Lepisosteus oculatus: one gene and its partner. The protein of the gene in region 2 binds, or shares a complex with, the protein of the main gene of each other region. Links are inferred from orthologs where the notes say so. Each region holds a gene or a part of one and is shown on either strand. Other genes may lie near its edges.

Region 1 (3,752 bases), about 30 Mb from region 2:
ACGGGGAAAAGGAGACAGCATGCGATGAGATCCCCTTCAGAAAGTGCTGAAAGAGCATCGCACAGTGTTGAGTGCCGAGGTGGAAAAACTGTCCATTTCAAGTTCGCCTGACGAAGCCTCCTAGCGAACTGTTACTTTCAGTTTGTCGCTCGGCCATGCCCGGCTGGCAGCGACCCCGCTTGGGCTTCTACCCATTTGGCCAGAACTCAGGAAACAGTCCGGGACACGAGGACTAGAGCCAGTACCGCAACACAATACTGTACTAAGGTCCAAAGCGCCAGTGGATACCTTTAAAAATATATTTAGCGATCGGTGAGCATCTTAAATCATCCGCTCCACGACAGCAACACAGACTTTTAAAAAGCTTATATTTTGGAAACAATGAACCAGATTTTAACTCCGCACCGAAAGGGGTTGTAGTTCAAGTTAAGTTAAGACGCGTATCTCTTTCGCTTTCTGCAAGAAATAAACTTGAGACCCGTTTAACGCGTTCCATTCAAACCCTTTGTTAGCCATCGGCGCTAAATAGCGATGGATACTATTTCTGGATGGGAAAGAAATCCTTAGAATATTTAGCATTAACTGCGTAAGCATTCTTGGGAGTGAAATAAACGACCAGTTGTTTTATTTTCTCTCTCTCTCTCGTGCTTTAAAGGGAGCTTTTCTAGCAACACGGTGAACTGAAGTTGCAGCACAGCTCCATTCCACAATTGCGATTCAGAGCATCTTCTCTCCCGTGCGAGGTCATTCGAGGTACTCTGAGTCGAGGTCGCACATTGGACACTCGCATATTCATTAATTTAGGCTACTCTAAATCCTATCACATATAGAAACGCGGTTCCTTTTACAATAACTACAGGTTTTTGCGTAGCATCACTCAATTATTCGTATTTATTCCGACTTAGACTTTATTGCTTTGCTCATGTACGTAGTGGTTTAGACTACATGGTCAGGTTAAGCCCCTGTTCCTCGTTTATCTGTCGTGTTGTGTGTTGCCTTCTCCTCTCAGAGCAGTTATCTACGTGACTTAAGCACTGGGGCACAGACGAAGATGACATTCATTAAAGGGACCTTATTGTACGGAAAGGTTTCACAGTCAAGCGGTGCTTCGGAATTTACATAATAGTTCTTTGTAGTTCTTGTTCAGATTGCTTTATCTGTCTGAAACCTGAGCTCAGGGTAGCCTATAGCAACGCGTTTTTATGACAAATTCTTTGTTTAGGCTGCTTTAAGATTGCAGAACCAATCATTTGGAAATGTTTAGAAAGAAAACACGTGCTTGAAAGTTAGTACCTATATATTTCTATATACGTTGAGGCTCTTCTGTTTTTAACTGTTTATTCTCGGTTGTCTTTCTAATTGCAGGGACAGTCAGGCGACAGGACAGTGAGCAGCCAGTCGCTGAACTCTTTCGATGGACTGCTGGGCCGATTTTAATTTAGTCTACTAGTGGAGAAATTACGCTGCACAGGCGGGACGAAACAGCGGTATCCGCAGTGTATTAGCAGCAGTAATAGCAATATAGTTTTTACACACCTGATTCGGCGAAACTGATGATCTCCGAAGTTTGCTCCTGCACCTCGTTGCTGGAGGTGGCGTGGCCGTCCAAGTTCGGTATTTCCACTCTTCCGTCTTCTCGCACTTTTCCTGCGTGAAGCTTCCGTAAGGCTGTGACCATCGCCGCCTTCGGGATGGGGTGGGTGATGTTGGGTCTCTCCCTCATCTGTAACCTGTTCAGTATATGCCTCTTAACAGCTTCCACGAAATCTATGTCCATCCGCCCCGCGTCCTCCGGCTGCCCGAGACCGCAAGACGCGCACGTATCCTGGGACGCAGTCTGAGTCTCAGTCCCCGGGGTCGGTGTGCATGTGATTGTAAAAACGCAAGCCACGAAACAGGCCACTTTGATGATGTATCTTCTCATTTTTTTTAAACAAAAAAGGTATTCCCGAGGACACTAGAATCTAATACGTGAACACAAAACGCAGCAACACGTTCGTCTTCTCAGGTTAGGTTCTGATACACTACGCTAAAACATATCCGAAATAACTTTTTCAGAATAGCTATGATGAAGTTATTCAGTTGAACATAGTAATCAGATCCACTTAGTCCACAGAGCGCTGACGAACGTGCCCAATGTGCTAATAGTTCCGAACATTCACTTAGTAAACTCCCTAAGGTTGCAACTCTTTGGTCATTTTGAATGCGAAATTCAGGTGGAAACTAATACAACGTGTTTGTCCTCTGTTCTCCGTTTTTGCCTGACTGAATGAACAATTTAACGTACCAGCCCCAAAGTGAAACTTCCACCGATACACATGTACACTATACATATATGTGTGTATATTTTGACCGAAGGTCTTCAAATCAGCACCCTTTATAGCAGAGAATGCCTGACGTGTCATGCCATGGTTTGAGCAACAGGAAAAAATAAATGACTAGAAGCTACACATTTTAAAAGGAAAAACAAAGATTTCTCAAGCAGCGTGACAAAGCACTCACTGCGCAGAAGACGCAAAAAAAAAACCACAACTACAGTTACACATAGGAAATTCCACTGTAGAAGAGGAAAGAAATGACCAATTCATTTAAATCATATCTCCCTTTTCGCTGCTGTCTGCCGAATCCAGTTTTTCCATCTCCATCCACTTCTACCTCTGATCTTTGCCGCCTTTGTTTGAAAAAAAAAAGAAGTGATTTTTAATTTCCGATCTGCAAATGGGTCCTGATGTGTATCTCAGCGCGTTGGCAAGAAGATACAATCTTCAGTTCGTGTTTTCCCCCCCTTGCAATCACGACATTGTGGCACTTTACACTGAAACTTTTTATACAGGAGACTAACCACGTGGGGCGTTCCACCAACTGGACTCTGCTGTTTAAAAGGATTATGTCCCTAGGCTAAGGTAAAGCGACTTCTGAAACAGTGGTCTCACGGTGCAAATATGAAGGAAATAATGGTCAAGTTCATTACATCTGCTCCATTACGGGGGGGAGTCGTGGAAGTATCATAACTAACCAATTTGTGAATAAAATGATTATTGATAAGCTTTTTTGGTTTTGAGAGTTTGCGCACACAAAGTCTAACCTATCAGCGCGGTATGCTATTTGATAATCTGGGGTATTTATTATGTCCGATCACAGAAAAGATTAATCGCAAGAGTTCCGTCACTTTACTTACACAAAATATTTTTAAAACACTTTTCATCTGTAGTTTCAACATCTGCACGTTCCTCGAAACATTTCGTTTCCGTTTCTACTCATTACAATATTTTAAAAGGAAATGATTTATAATAATAGGATGCCTGTATTTTATTCCAAACCGCGGTTAAACAGATCACGATTTTCAGCGGGAGCGATTTGGACTTGGGTTTCATCACTGATTATTATAGGTTCAAAGAATTACCTCGGAAAACTTCAGCAGCGCTTAACCGCTGCAAGTATGAGACTACAGTTTATAGAAAGAGAGACTCCGCGTCGAACGTGTTTTTTTTTATTGTTGTTAGTATTGAAAGAGAATGTTTTAATTAGGCACCAGAAAGGTCTTTTGTAAGTCCGAGACCCATATGGAAAGTCTTTTGACGGGCGAGCTCTGTGCCCTTTCATTTGTAGCGATGCATTTGTTTTTTCCTCCAACCGTCTCCTGTGACAGTAAACATCTCAGGTGTCATAAACACGGGGTTCGCAGCGATCAGCGGGATGTGCAACAATTCTTTGTTGCTTTCAGGTAGCCTATAAAAGTTTTGAGTGGGGGT
Region 2 (3,752 bases):
GGATCCGGAACAGGGACAGGGAATAAAACCAGGGTAACGAGGCCAGGCGCGCCGAGCCCCAGACCCAGACGGTCAGGACGCTGTGGTGAAGCCTATGCCTTCGGGTCTCTCCTGGACCTGTTGGTAGGTGAGATCCCAGGCGTCCATCTCCCAGCGCTGAGCCAGGAATGGCGAGAGCACCAGGCTTAAATAATGAGAGACAAAACAGGTGCATATAATCAACCAAAATACGAAAAGGATCGGGGAGCCCTTGGAGTTAACTTTTTGTCCATTTGACATTCAAAGCAGAAATCTGCATCTCAGACACCTTGTGGGTTGCCTATGAAATATCTGGGGTTTCACTAATATGGGCCATTGCAGGCCTTAATTCACAGCTTTCACCATAAAAGAGTTTTCTTCTGATACAAGTTTTGAAAACCCTCAAAGGCACAGACAAAGTCCACTCAGAGCCTTTCTCCGGAAAGGAAAAATGAAACACAAACCAGACGGCGCAAGTGGAAACGATGTGAAAGTGCATTTAAAACCGAGAACACGTTTCACTTCTTCACCCACAGGGCTGTAGGGAGTGTGAAACAAGCTTCCCAGCCATATCTGCATGAATTTCTTGTATCATTTAACTATTACCTACCAAAATGCGCCAGATGTGCCTAAAGGCCTACTCCTGTTTGGAACATTTCTGATTTTCTTCTGAATATACAAGTCAAGAAGCCTGGACTTTTTAAATAAATTCAACTGCTCGAAAACATATAGCCTTGTTTTTTTTTAAATGAGAATAACCACTCACGGAATGTTTGTCTCCACATAAGAGATTTTAAAAATCAGGTTTTTATTTAACGTGCCAGACTGTTGAACGTTTTTACAAGTCGGGTGGCGTTTTGGATAACCTTCAGACGACGGCCGGGAGCACAGAGGTGGTTTGAGAAAACGTGCGCCTAAAGGCGGGCGAGCCCCACGCCAGCGCCACTCTTTCCGCGACCGGCTGTGCACCGCTAGCGGGAGCTCTACTCCTTTCCCACACTGCGCGGAAGTGAGACGGCTCGGCTTTAGCGTGTTTAGTGCTGCAAGCGCCGCAGACAATCCCGGGATGAGGCGTATCCCAGTCACAGACGCTCTGTCTCGCTGTCTGCTGCTCCATGGTCACTAGCGCTGACAGCCAGCCAGCCAGCCCTCCCTCCTTCTGAAACTGCAGACAAACCGAAACGGAGGCAGTCTGCTCCCCGTAACCAAAACAGTGCAGAACTAAGTGTTGGGGAGGACGTGCCTGTGTACATTTTTTTATTTGTGGTGTTGGGGTGGGAGGGGGGGGGAGGTTGTAATTTTTTTTTAACAAAAACTGGGCTTTGCGCAAGGATATTTTCCGATGGAGATTTATTGGAATGCATAGCCTTGTCTAAAGGTGGAGATCTGAAAGTGTTGGAGGAAGAAAAAAAAAAGGGGGGGGCCTCTCTTAATATCCTGAGCAAGGGGGGGATCCGCGAATCTCGGCTGGGATCGCTCCTGAAAACAAACACCGTGCCCTGCGTAGGAACAGCAAAACGGGAGGGGAAATAAAATGCTTACAGTTTGTCCTGTTGGCAGCGAAGTTAGCAGGCGCTTTTCACAAAGGGGCTTCATTTAAAGGGAAAAGAAAAAACGGAATTTGTGCACCGCGGACTTTAAAAGTCGGAGCTGCTTGGTGGGTTCTTGGAGGGGGGAAAAAAGGCCTTTTTTTGGAGGATTGCAGGCAATTTCTCGCCAAGGACTTATTTTTTTGATTTTTTTTCACAAGAAAAATGGAATCCTCGGATTTTCATATTAAGTTGGAGACGCGCTCGCCTGCACGTTAATTGTTTTTGCTGAAGGACATTTGCAATTCGGGAAGCTTTAGGGTAGCTAACGTTAGCTACCTAACCTTCGTATATCTGCAGAAACCCAATCAAAGGGAATAGAATAACCGTTCAGACCGATTCTGGTTGTCTTAAGGTTTTTATTTTGCAGCCGGGAGTGGAAATTAAAAGAACCGAGCCTCCCTATTTTTAAAACCGGAATCGCCCAGTTCATTTCACGAATGATGTAACTGGCGAGGGCTTTTTATAAAGAGGGGGAAAAAAAATCTAGCACGTTAAATGATTGAGATAAGTAGCTGGCTGTTCCAAGAAAATGTTAATTTTAACGCCGGCCAGCACGAAGACGAACTGAAAACAAAAACGACGAGGCACCGGTGGACAATGATGGGATTCTTCATTTGAATCGGGATTACAGTCAACGAATGTATCTGGATTGGTCATTTCTAGGAAGAGGAAAAAATTATAAAACTTTTTGGAGGTGTTTATTATCGCGGATACCGGGTTTGGTGCTCAGCATGGCCGCCTTCCACCGCCTGTCTATCCTGGTGTTGGGAGTCTACGCAGTCCTGCTCAGTACGGTAGCTGGTAAGTGCCTACATAACTGCGGGCTGAAATCAGACTTAATGGCCCTGTAAAAAAAATGATTTGGGCTTCCAATAAATAAACACTGTTCTCTTTCAGTTAAACGAAACGACACCGAAAATAACCCAGGCAGCGAATCTCAATATTTAACTTTTTTTTTTATACGGCCGAATATGTTTTCGACCGTGGTTGAACCGCCTTGTTGTAGCTTTTAACAGACAGGAAAGGTTACATTCACCCAAGAAAAATAAAACTGTTATTTAAGTAACTTCATGGGCACCTTGGTAGTCCTCCAGGTAACCAGTGTCTTCAGCAAGGTCCGGCAGCATTTTATTTTCATGAGTTGGACCACGGGTGGAATCGCTGAAAATCTTTCCAAGAACAAATGAGAAAACGCTTTGCAATCGAGTATAGCGATTATATAATTGTTACCAAGGGATAGAACAATTGAAAATACGGCAGGCGAATAATGTTACAACTCGAGATGCATATATGGCGTGTAATGTCTTAGGTGTAGCCTAAGTAATGTGCAGTATTGCATGTCTCGGTCTCTCATTTGTTACTCCATTAACAGTAACGTTCAAATGTGCATGTCACTATTTGAGTAGTCCAGGTTTTCAGATGTGACAACAGCGGTTTCAGTTATTTGGGTGACTTGAACTGAATGCTTTGATAACGTACAATTGCATCTGTAAGTACGGTAGTTAAGATCCTGGTGTCTGCTGTGTGCTTTCTGTGAAGGGTAGTGCACAGACCTCAACATCGTTTTATCTCGTTCATTCACTTGACATGGACGTGAGATGCACCTTTTTATGACAGAACAAGGGCTCTTTTTATGTCCTGCCTTCTTGCCATCTTGCCATTAGATCCAGTGTAGATTGAAATATAAAAATCTGGATTAAAAATAATTCCTATTTATAAAATACTTCCCCCTTTCCTCCTTCTAAAAGTGTCACATCACCAGAGTACAGAAAATGTCATTGGTCATTGCAGACAGTCCCGAATGAGTAATATGTTAATTTCTGCTTTGAGGTGTTTTTTAATTGATCTTTTTTGACGTACTTCCTTTCAGTTTAGAGGGAAAAAACCCAATCAGTAAAACCTGAGCAAGTGTTCTGCTTTCATTTGTCAACCATGTTGCTCTGATGCCTGGTTATCCTGAAAGGCATTTGAACTATAAGGCTTCAGTGATGTCTCCTCTGATAAGGCAGTCTTTTTAGATTCTTTTTTTTTAGTTTGTGTTCCATTTTGAAGTGGGAGAACATGCTTCTGAGAGACTCCCCAGTTGTCCATAGGTTGAGTCTTGTAGGGTTGGTAGTCTTTCAGTCCCTGAACGCGTTTTTG

The links. Proteins that work in one complex are often made in the same cells at the same time.
Region 1: the proteins of bmpr2b (region 2) and inhbb are in contact, whole or in part, in a crystal structure (PDB 7U5O), measured with the Homo sapiens proteins. The link is inferred for Lepisosteus oculatus from reciprocal best matches to the Homo sapiens genes BMPR2 and INHBB. Residues at the interface, in NP_001195.2 of Homo sapiens: Tyr40, Tyr67, Leu69, Val80, Lys81, Trp85, Ser86, His87, Ile88, Gly89, Asp90, Gln92, Ile108, Gln109, Tyr113, Phe115; in NP_002184.2 of Homo sapiens: Phe309, Asn318, Asp319, Ile322, Ala323, Pro324, Gly326, Tyr327, Tyr328, Thr379, Met380, Ser381, Met382, Leu383, Phe385, Asp386, Asn390, Ile391, Val392, Lys393, Asp395, Ile400.

The regions. Positions count from the first base shown.
Region 1 is NC_090707.1:3,923,876-3,927,627, reverse strand, and holds the start of inhbb (inhibin beta B chain), read right to left. Parts: upstream 2,835-3,752; 5' UTR 1,925-2,834; coding exon 1,537-1,924; intron 1-1,536. UniProt on the Homo sapiens protein: Inhibins and activins inhibit and activate, respectively, the secretion of follitropin by the pituitary gland.
Region 2 is NC_090707.1:34,056,072-34,059,823, forward strand, and holds the start of bmpr2b (bone morphogenetic protein receptor type-2), read left to right. Parts: upstream 1-1,065; 5' UTR 1,066-2,248; coding exon 2,249-2,411; intron 2,412-3,752. UniProt on the Homo sapiens protein: On ligand binding, forms a receptor complex consisting of two type II and two type I transmembrane serine/threonine kinases.